3 linked regions of the Mus musculus genome follow. The protein of the gene in region 1 binds, or shares a complex with, the protein of each later gene. Links are inferred from orthologs where the notes say so. Each region holds a gene or a part of one and is shown in the gene's direction. Other genes may lie near its edges.

Region 1 (3,749 bases):
TAACACAGTAGAATTCAAAGGTATACTGATTTAGTACACGCTGAAGAATAATGGTAGAAAAACATTAACTTCTTTGTTTTCCATAATTAAACCATTATATTTACGAGAGGAAAAAAAATCCAGAAAAATAGAAGATGTATGCTCAGGATCACCTAGTGAGATGCTTGGAAGGCACTACCCTGTGCTGTCTTCTCTGGATTTGAAGCATCTGATTCAAGGAAACTTTTCTCTTTCTGTTCTGTGAACTGAGGGGGCAACGGGAAAAGCAGCTGGGGCAGCTGAGAGCGGTGATGCATACGCAGCTGTGCAGTCTGGCGGCCACGCTGAGACAATGGCAAGGCCGGGCAGCTGGACAGCCGAGGAAGCAGCAGCTGAATAGTTCAAAAGCAGCCGGGACTGGAAGAAAGGCAGCACAGAAAAGGGACAGCTGGAGAGAACAGAGAGCAAGACCAGAAACTACAGTCCTGACAACTGGAACGTTTCAGAGTTGTTAAATCTTTGGGGCCAAGGTCTCAGACCCTGGGCCAAGAGCTGTAGCATTCATTGTTGCTGCAAATCCCAAAAACTAGGTCAACCTGGAAGCTGCTAGCTAGCCATAGCCAAGAGCTGGGGGAAATCCCTATTTCCTAAACCCATGCAAGAGCTGTTACAACTTTGCAGGGTCAGGTGGATCTCTGTTAGTTCCAGTGATACACAGTGAGACTCTGTAATTAAAATAAAAAAACAATAATAAAAAAGGAGAAACAGAAGATTTGGGCACTAAAGGATCACCTACTGCTGCCTCACTCGTTGCGCAAGCTGTCAAATACCAGCTCTTGATGTGGGTGAATCAGGACACCGGCCAGCAGATGGAGGACACATGTCTGTCTGTAAAAATAAGCCTGTCGGTTTAAAATGAGATATAAGCAGTAAACGAGGTTCCAGTCAGTGACGTTACACTTCACTTGTTTTCCCGTCCTCAGGTCCCATGTGAACCACCTTTAGTCGGCTACATCCTCCCCATCCGCCCCAAGCCCTTACAAGGATTCTCCACCGATTCGCACCACCCTTCCATCTTTCTCTGACAAAAGTCAGCATCCTCAGTAGACTGTCTCTGTGGTGAAGTGCCAGGGAATCCCAATACTTAGGTCAGCCTGGAAGATGGTAGACATCCAGACCCAAGAGCTGGGGAAATCTTTGTTTCCTACCCCCAAAGCAAGAACTGTTACGACTTGTAGGGATAAGTAAGTCTCTGTTGAGTTCAGTCAGAGACAGAGTGAGATTCTGTCTCAATAAAAAACTAGGAACAGGACTGCACTGCAGATGCTAATCTCCACTGCGATGCCGGGCAGGACCAACCCGGGAAATCTTCGTTGATTTGCTACACTGCCTGTACCGGCCCCAGCGGCCCCCGATCTCTAGCCACGCCCACACCACGCCCCCGAGCCTGCGCCTGGATGACGTCGGTTTTCCGCGCCGGGAAGAAGCCGGTGTGCGGACTTGTCTCGGTGCCGTTCATCCTTTGCGTGGCCCGCCACTATGAAGGAGACGCCGCTTTCCAACTGTGAGCGCCGCTTCCTGCTCCGCGCAATTGAGGAGAAGAAGGTGCGAGGCCTGCGGTGTGAACACCGTGGCTTTGGGTGTAGACTCGGGTTGTCCGTGGATACATTGTCAGTTCGGCCTGTTGTGTGGTCGTGGTGTGGACTCGGGGGCTGCCCAGTGTGGACTCTCCCCATTCCCCAAGCCTCAGGGCAGTATTTGACCCTGACCAGTTCCTTTGAACCTTAAGCCAGCAGTATTCAGTGGCAGGGACGTTGGGAACCAGGACCACACAGACACAGTTGCCACTCATAAATATGTTAAAGCAGTAAATGGTGTTTGCTTACAGCGCCTGGACGGCAGACAGACCTATGATTACAGGAACATCAGGATCTCATTCGGAACGGATTATGGATGCTGTATTGTGGAACTGGGAAAAACAAGGTAACAGGATTCAAGTTAGATAATGCAACAGGAGGTGTGAAAATCACAACATACTGACTCGGTTGTTTACTGAGCAGCTCCGAATTCCAAACGTGCTATTCTTATTCTTATTCTTATTATTATCATTATTCTGATGAGAAATATGTTTCTTTAATGCCAGCCTTTTTTAGTTTTGTGCGCAGTTTAACTTTCAACCATTAGTGCTTTCTGTTATATGAGTATCATAGTTCCGTATGACCATTATAAATCATGTAGACAGCTAACATTGATCACACAGGTTATCTGCATGTCTCATTTTCTAGTGTGAGGAGTGTATCGATCATGTCATCAGTAAGCCTCAGTTTCCCTTTTATTCTCAAATGATGTAAGAAATAAGAGATTTCCTTTCTGTCATCCTTTTGTGTATACCAATATTTTTTATTTCTGCGTGAAATCTACTTACCCTTAAAAAAAAAAACCTTTATTATTGTGTATGTGCATTATTGTGTGTGTGTAGGCAGGTTGCTGGGTCCAGTTTACCACATTCTATATGTAATTTCTGCCTCTTATGTCACATTGTGTTGTTTAGGTTTTTGTTGTTGTTGTTGTTATTTTAGATTTCGTCACCCTTTTTTTTTTTTTTTTAATTGAAAAGAAAGTACGTTTAGTTGACTGCTTTGCACCTTTATTTTTGCAGAGTCCTTGGACAGGTTTCCTGTGAACTTGTTTCTCCGAAACTCAATAGGGCAACGGAAGGTATCCTCTTTTTTAACCTTGAGCTTTCTCAGATGGCTGCTCCAGCTTTTGAGCCTGGCAGGTATCTCACTCTTTGTTAAGTTACTTTAGCCATGGAAGAACTTACCCTCAGTGAGATATTGTTTTCCTGCTCACAGTCGAAGTTTATCACATTAGTTCGTTCTTCTTTCCATAGGCAGTCAGATCTCTTGGTGAAGCTGAATCGACTCTTAGAAAGGTGTCTACGAAATTCAAAGTGTATAGACACTGAATCTCTCTGTGTTGTCGCTGGTGAAAAGGTGAGAAATATGTTCAAAATATCTTAACAATGAATACTGTTGATTCAGACACAATTAAAACAGACGTAGGAACCTGGAGACCTTGCAGAGGTTTGGGTTCGGTTGCCAGCACTCACATGGCGGTTCACAACCTCTGTAACTGTAGTTCCAGAAGCTTTAACACAGTTTTGGGGACACCAGGCATGAGTGTGGTACATGCATACATGCAAGCAAATGTGCATACATGGAAAATAAATGTGTTTTTTAAAAAACATAAGTTTCAAATGTTAGAATGCTTCCATTCAGTTACATATTCTTAGTCTTTCAAATGAATCCCATAGATAAGTTAACTATTAGTATTTCAAGTGTTTTGTTTTAAAGTTAACTGCATTTTTCCTGGATAAACTGGAAGGATTAGCCGTATACGTTAAAAAAAAAAAAAGTGCAGTATTTCTTTACCAGTGGCCATTGGTCATGCTCAGTTGGGATTTATTTTTATATTAAATTCACTTTCAGGTTTGGCAGATCCGTGTAGACCTACATTTATTAAATCATGATGGGAATATTATTGATGCTGCTAGCATTGCTGCAATTGTAGCCTTGTGTCACTTCCGAAGACCTGATGTCTCTGTCCAAGGAGAGGAAGTAACACTGGTAAGCTTCCAGGGCTCCGATCAGAATTGTTCCTGTGAGCAAATCCTTCGTGTGCTGACAGGAGACATGGCAGATAGCATTTAGGGTTCTTCTAGTTTTTATTCACAAGACAGAAACTGCAAATGGTCAGAAATGCCCTAG
Region 2 (3,349 bases), on another chromosome or scaffold:
TCCTCACTTTGGCAGTAGCCATAGCTGCTCTCCTGTGCCAGCTATAGTGTTAGTCTGTGGTAGCATCACACATGATACAAATGGATGTTGGGGGCGCCTGCCATTCCCCCCTCAATCCCATTCTGACTACCATTTTCCCCTCCTATCTCCTAGAATGCAGCCAACCGGGGACTGAAAGCCAGCGAGTGGGTCCAGCAGGTTTCAGGCCTGATGGATGGTAAAGGCGGTGGCAAGGACATGTCCGCCCAGGCCACAGGCAAGAACGTGGGCTGCCTTCAGGAAGCACTGCAGCTGGCTACCTCCTTTGCCCAGCTCCGTCTGGGAGATGTGAAGAACTGATGGGAGGGAAGCCCTCTCGGGAAAGCAACTCGCCATCAACCAGACATGTCCGAAGGCGGGAATTCAGCCAGGAGCTCTCCTCCCGCCACGAAGACATTGGAGTCATGGGACCTCTCAGCAGCCCTGTCCGTCCTGATCCAGCGGTAATGGGAACACGCCTGGAGCTGTCCTGTGATTCATTGCCCCCCTCCATTACTGCTCTGAGCCCATTCATGTCAGCACCATCTGTCTAAAATCACTACCCAGGAATGCTTTTTAACGTCATGATCACATCTAGATGAGGTCACTCTGCCAGCCTGAGGCTTTAGGTCTGCAGAGGAAGGAAGCCTTTTCTCTGCAGAAAATAAAAAGGACCATGTGCAATACTTGGTGATGTCATGCGCTCTGCTTCTTGTCCTGAGGTGAGCCCTGGCTCCTGTATATCTGTTACGGTTCCAGCCTGTTTCTGGTTGATGGTATCACCGAATAGACTCCCAGACTCCTGAAAGTTCAGGAAATTCAATAGAAGGGTGGAGGAAAATAATTCTGAGTTGCTTCCAGTGGAGAACCACTGTTCTTAGTCTCTTAGGACAACCTCCACCATGCCTGTCCACATGCCTGTTTGAGGCTGCTGATATGAGGTCAGACAACTGATATAGGCAGTATGAACATGTAGGTGTGTCCTACTAACTGCCCCACCCCTACTGCTTTAACCTAAAGTAGGTTCAAGACCCTGGCCCAGCCCTAAAATGCAATTTGTATGAATCTACAAACAGCAGGGTCTGGAAGCAGAGATACTGTCTGCTTATGACAGTTCCTCAGAGTGTTAGAAATATCTAGTTGTACAAAGAGAGATACCGTCCATTTATTAAACAAGTGTTGAAGCAGCCAGAGGACTAATTGCACGAGTAAACAAAAACCTCTCACCTTGGGCAAGCTTATGTGAAACAGTCTGAATGCAAACTTCTAGGAATAACAACAGATCCGTTCCTTAGGACTAGCTAAAGTACCAGCATAGGAGTCCAGCTATACCTCGCCGTTCTTCCTCCACTCCGCTAGGTGGCAGCGCGCACACCTACCGCTCTCCCGATAGGCTCTGCGCGGGCGCGCATCTTTAAGCGAGCGGAAGAGCCGGGTGCGCAAGGGCAGCCCAGCAGGCGGAAGTAGCTCGCACGCCGGTAGCCGCCATGCCGGGAGACCATCGCCGCATCCGCGGGCCGGAGGAGTCTCAGCCGCCGCAGCTGTACGCGGCCGAAGACGACGAGACGCCCGCTGCTCGCGACCCGACGCGGCTCCGCCCGGTGTACGCGCGCGCCGGGCTGCTGAGCCAGGCCAAGGGCTCCGCCTACCTGGAGGCGGGCGGGACCAAGGTGCTGTGCGCCGTGTCCGGTCCGCGGCAGGCCGAGGGCGGCGAGCGCGGCAGCGGCCCTGCGGGAGCGGGCGGGGAAGCTCCCGCTGCCCTCCGGGGTCGCCTGCTCTGCGATTTCCGCCGCGCTCCCTTCTCCGGTCGCCGGCGTCGCGCGCCCCAGGGCGGCGGCGGGGAGGATCGCGAGCTGGGACTGGCGCTACAGGAGGCTCTGGAGCCCGCCGTGCGCCTGGGGCGCTACCCGCGTGCTCAGCTCGAGGTGTCGGCGCTGCTGCTGGAGGACGGCGGCTGTGCGCTGGCCGCGGCGCTCACCGCGGCCGCGCTCGCCCTGGCCGACGCGGGAGTGGAGATGTACGATCTGGTGGTGGGCTGCGGCCTGAGCCTCACCCCGGGACCCTCCCCGACCTGGCTGCTGGACCCCACGCGGCTGGAGGAGGAGCACTCCGCGGCCGGTCTCACGGTGGCCCTCATGCCTGTGCTCAATCAGGTGGCCGGGTTACTGGGCAGTGGGGAAGGCGGGCAGACTGAGAGTTGGACCGATGCTGTGCGCCTGGGCCTGGAGGGCTGCCAGCGCCTCTACCCAGTGCTGCAGCAGTGTTTGGTGCGGGCTGCCCGCCGGAGGGGTGCCGCCGCCCCACCCTGATTGGAAAAAACCGGAGCGACGAGGATTCGAGGACTGCTATCGCCCTTCTCTCCCTAAAGGACCAAGCGCTGATGGTCGCCTGACTCCGCAGAGCTGAGAAACGAAGAGTGGGGCAGTTGGGCGCACAGAACCAAAGCACTGGACAGCTCTGTTGGAAAGGTTTAAAAGGCCGTTGGAAACACGATCCAGTTGGAGAGATTTGAAAGCAGCCATACTCCCAAGTTGGAAAGGACTTGGGCTGGATTTACCTAGTAAATGAGATAAGGGGCTATGGTCTTGTAGGAGATGGACCCAGTGCAGGCCAGCCATTGGCTCCAATACATAATAAACTGATTCTTTTGAGAGGATGGACCAGGGGACTTTGCCTTCTCACTACTCAGAGTAAAACATAAAAACTATTTTATGACTGGAAATACATCTGTTGTGTTTTTTCTTGATACTAGAGTTAGAAACAATGCTGTTCTGAACTGGGTGTGTGTTGAGTCTGTGTTTTCAAGGGCTCCGAGTCATTACTGCCTTAAGTGTTCATATTAGCCCACTGTAACTAAGAAGGGGTGATGTGCTTTGTAGGAGAAACCTCGTGCCCTGGAGCATTGTCTGGGGCAGCTGCTGAGGTGATAAGTCTGAGGAGACTCCAGGACAGCCAGGGCTACACACAGAAACCCCTGTTTTTTGGGGGTGGGGGGAGGGAACTGGAGAGAGTTAAAAGAAGTTCTGGTGCCCCCCTATCCTTTCCTTTAGGACAAAATCATGTCTAGGAGTTGGGTAACTGAAGGATTATGCTCTGGAAGGACGCCCAGTCCCATCCTGGTGTCCTGTCCAGGCTTGGCTCCTGGCACTAAGGCTCAGTGCAGCAATGGACTACTCAAATGGGGACCACCTAAATACTGTGGCATCGCTTACAGCCTGGCTATTCCATAAGGCAGAGCGGGCCTGACCAGGATTATAGGGGCTTTTCTTCACTTAGGGTTGAATTGGAGGAAGCTGTGTGGCACTTATTAAGTAAGGGGTTACTTAATAAG
Region 3 (3,749 bases), on another chromosome or scaffold:
CAAAAGGGAATTCCGAGTTTTCTCCAGTGTTTTCAAGAAAAGTGGGCAGCCAAGCACCGTAGCTTACATCTGTAATGCCAGTACTTGGGAGGCTGGGACAGGACTATCTCCAGTTCGATGCCTGTCTAAGCATCTGGGTGAGCTAAAGGCCATTCCGGACTCGTGGGTGAGATCCTGTCTCAAAAAAATAACGTGGGCAAAGGGTCCTGTTTGAACTTGTAGCTCTCTTTGTCTCCCTTCATAATCATCTTGTGTAAAGGACAGTCATGGCAAAGTCCCTTGCCTTGCCTTTTGATCAGGTGGCATAGGAATCAAACCAGTTTCTTGCTCAACTCCCTTTACAGTTGGAATTTAAGCAATGTAGGACCCTATGAAAACCTGATCTGTCCTTTCAACCCCCGTCTCGTCTCCTTCTATCGAGGCCCACAAGTAGCTGCCTTGCTTTTCCTCTAAAGGGATTCTTCCCTTGAATTTCTCTTCAAGAAGTTTCTCGGACCTTTTCTTTCTTTCCTTCACAGCCCGCGGTGTCTCACACAATGTAAGAATAACTTTTACGTCTCTATTTCTCCCTAAGAAAGACCCCGTGGGGCTCAGATACTCACAGATCTAGCCAAGCCCCGAACCCCAGATCGTCCCAACAGGAGAAGAGCAGCCTGGCGCAGGCCACGGCTCGGCCTCCAGATCTTGGCCGCAGACATCACTATCGCCATCTTGGCTAATAACCACTCCTCCTTTCTCACAGGATAGACATACGGCTGTCCCACCAGATGCCTTATTCAAATAGCAGCACCGCTAGGCCAACACGCTATCTGCTTCTAACCACCTTGCGACAAAGACGCATAAATGAGTAAGGTGGCAATTTTTAGTCTCTAAAATTGCTCCGGTCGTCTGCTTCTAGTTGCTCCTAATTCAGGCAACTAAAAGGACAACTTAACTTGAACCTTCAGGGTTCAGGACCCGGAGCCCTGAGCAAAATGGGCCCTCTCCAAGTCCCTCCCCCTGTTCCCTGTTGTCCAATGGCTATGCCAGAATTGGGAGGTGGAGGTGGGCGGGACCAGATTGTTAGTAAACGCTGAGCCACGTGCTAGGGCCAACTCGGGCGTGCCCTAGACGGGCGCATGCGCAATAGGTACGCGGCCGGTAGAACTGCGCGCGCCGCTAAGCGGAAGCTACGGTGGGAGCCGCAGCGCGCGTGGTCAGCGGCTATGGAGGGCGCAAAGCGTGCAGACGCCAATTTACTCACTGACACCGGAACAGAGTCCAGCCCCCGAAGTCCAGTCTGCAGTCTCCGGCACTTTGCTTGTGAGCAAAACCTGCTGTCCCGGCCGGATGGATCTGCTTCTTTTCTTCAAGGTACGAGCCTCACCAAGTTTAACTCAGCGCGCGCCATCCTCACCGAAGAAGGGTTTTTGAAGAGCGGTTACTGTGTAGTATGTAACCAAGTACGCCCGCCTCCTTGAACTTATTTCTAGATGTTGAGTATACCCACCTCCCGTCTCGAGAAGAAATGAGTTGGCCAGCCTGGTAAATCCCTCTCAGAGGAGATCGAGAGCAAGACCACTCTCATAAGAGTGACTATCCCAGAATAGGTATTTCACCAAGGCAGATATTACCCTTCTCTAGATTTCTTTCTTTCTTTTATCTTTCTTTCAAGACTTATTTTATTTATATAAGAGCACTGTAGCTGTCTTCAGACACACCAGAAGAGGGCATCAGATCCCGTTACAGATGGCTGTGAGCCACCATGTGGTTGCTGGGAATTCAACTCAGGACCTTTGGAAGAGCAGTCAGTGCTCATAACCACTGAGCCATCTCTCCAGCTCCCCTTGACTAGATTTCTTGGGTTTTTGTTGTTGTTGTTGTTGTTGTTGTTTTCACTTTGTTGTTGAACTCACTTTGTAGACCAGGCTGGCCTTGAACTCAGAAATCCGCCTGCTTCTGCCTCCCGAGTGCTGGGATTAAAGGCGTGCGCCACCACGCCTGGCTTTGACTAGATTTCTTAAAAAACACTTCTAGATCCATACATCACCGGTTGAGGCTAAGGTGTTTATTTGCATAAATACCCTTTGAGACAGACACATCACCACCACTGGTTTAAATATAATTACTGTGGCAGATGATACATCTAAGTAAGTGCTCTTCAAATTAAATGTGATCTTCCCATCCTGGGCTGAGAAGCATCTCCCCTTCCCCGGTCCCATCATTTAAGAAAACGTGCCTTTCCTTGGTATACACATTTCATCAGACTAAATGAATAGGGAGAAAAGAGAAGTCTTGTGGCTGAGACCCACACAACCCTATATCCCAGTCGGGCCAGCCAACTTTGAGAGGTCATGAGAGGGTGAGAAACTACCAGAGTAGACAGATGAGAGGGCAGAGACAGAGTTGACAATGGTGAGTTTGTTTGAGATGTTAAAGGCTGATCACCTTATGGCTAATAAGCTAGAGGTCATTGCTTATAGTGGTGGGTCAGAAAGAGCGAGAAAAAAAACAGTTGAGACAAGTCTCCAGGCATTTTCCTGCGAAGGAATCAGATAGATGGGGCAAGAGCTGACGACTGATAGAGCTTAAGAAAGGAGAAAACTGGCAGGTCAGTGGTGGCACACACCGTTAGTCCCAGCACTTGAGACACAGATGCAGGGTCTCTATGAGTTTGAGGCCAGCCTGGTCTATAGAGGGAGTTCCAGGACAGCCAGGAAACCCTGTCTTGGGGAAAAAAAAAAAGGGGAGACAGCTCGGGGCTGGAGAAATGGTTTCTCTTACAGAGAACAAAGTTGAGTTCCCAGCACCCATTCAGGCAGCTTTCAAGCACTTGTAACTTGTGGGGAGCCAGGATATTGGAAGCCCTGTTATGGCCTCTGCAGGGAACTATACACACACACACACACACACACACACACACACACACACATAACTTAAAAAGTAAAATAAATACTAGGGGGAAAAGAAGAGAATTTCTGCAGCCACATCATCGAGATGGTGGGAAGAAAGAGACTCCCTTGCTCGCTGAGAGCACAGTCTATCTAGCAGTACAGGAATGTAGCTCTAGTAAGCACCTGAGTCTATTGGGTTACCTCTGGTTTCATTGGAGAAGCACCCACAGATGTTTAGTGTTCTCATCCCAGGCTGGCTCTCAGCTTAGCTCATTGCTGAAATCAGCCTCCCCTATCTCTTGGGATATAAGAAATAGAGAGGGAACCTTCCCATGTTCTAAAACCCTAAACTCACAGGGCCCTAGTGCAAGCTGGAGACTTGGCAGACTTTCAAAAAGAATGTTGCAGACACTTCTGACCTCAAAGGCTCCTGTAAGAACACCCGATGGAGGGGGCTGTGGCTGCGGCAGGCAAGCAGTGCAAATGATGTGTATGTATGATAATGACACAATATCCCTATTACTTGACATTTGTCCTCACTAGGAGTCTCTTGCTGTGACAAGGACATAACCAGAATCAACGTGGCAGAACCTGGCTTTTCATGGCTTGTTCAGCCTGCTTTCATAGATAACCTAGGACCACCTGCCCAGTGGTGGCGCTGCCCACAGTGAGTGGGGGCCCTTCTATATCAGTTGTTGATCACTAAAATGCCCTACAGGATCATGCAGCAAGACCCTGTCTCAAGAAAAAGAAAATGCCCCCACAGACCTGCCTGCAGGCCAGTCTGATGGAGGCAATTCCTCATTTGAGTTTCCTCTTTCCAGGTATGGCTAAGTTGACAAAATGCAAAGCAAAAGAAGCAACTAGCCGGCACAG

Evidence for each region. The genes of interacting proteins can lie anywhere in the genome.
Region 2: Exosc9 (region 1) and Exosc6 share a complex: the UniProt entries of both Homo sapiens proteins name them as parts of the RNA exosome core complex. The link is inferred for Mus musculus from reciprocal best matches to the Homo sapiens genes EXOSC9 and EXOSC6.
Region 3: Exosc9 (region 1) and Exosc5 share a complex: the UniProt entries of both Homo sapiens proteins name them as parts of the RNA exosome core complex. The link is inferred for Mus musculus from reciprocal best matches to the Homo sapiens genes EXOSC9 and EXOSC5.

What each region holds. Positions count from the first base shown.
Region 1 is NC_000069.6:36,551,168-36,554,916, forward strand, and holds the start of Exosc9 (exosome complex component RRP45), read left to right. Parts: upstream 1-1,438; 5' UTR 1,439-1,518; coding exon 1,519-1,584; intron 1,585-1,867; coding exon 1,868-1,962; intron 1,963-2,638; coding exon 2,639-2,758; intron 2,759-2,872; coding exon 2,873-2,975; intron 2,976-3,470; coding exon 3,471-3,608; intron 3,609-3,749. UniProt on the Homo sapiens protein: Non-catalytic component of the RNA exosome complex which has 3'->5' exoribonuclease activity and participates in a multitude of cellular RNA processing and degradation events.
Region 2 is NC_000074.6:111,054,866-111,058,214, forward strand, and holds Exosc6 (exosome complex component MTR3), read left to right. Parts: upstream 1-1,473; 5' UTR 1,474-1,505; coding exon 1,506-2,327; 3' UTR 2,328-2,799; downstream 2,800-3,349. Other genes in the region: Aars (alanine--tRNA ligase, cytoplasmic), read left to right, coding at 154-339. UniProt on the Homo sapiens protein: Non-catalytic component of the RNA exosome complex which has 3'->5' exoribonuclease activity and participates in a multitude of cellular RNA processing and degradation events.
Region 3 is NC_000073.6:25,658,031-25,661,779, forward strand, and holds the start of Exosc5 (exosome complex component RRP46), read left to right. Parts: upstream 1-1,122; 5' UTR 1,123-1,205; coding exon 1,206-1,353; intron 1,354-3,749. Other genes in the region: Bckdha (2-oxoisovalerate dehydrogenase subunit alpha, mitochondrial), read right to left, coding at 603-710. UniProt on the Homo sapiens protein: Non-catalytic component of the RNA exosome complex which has 3'->5' exoribonuclease activity and participates in a multitude of cellular RNA processing and degradation events.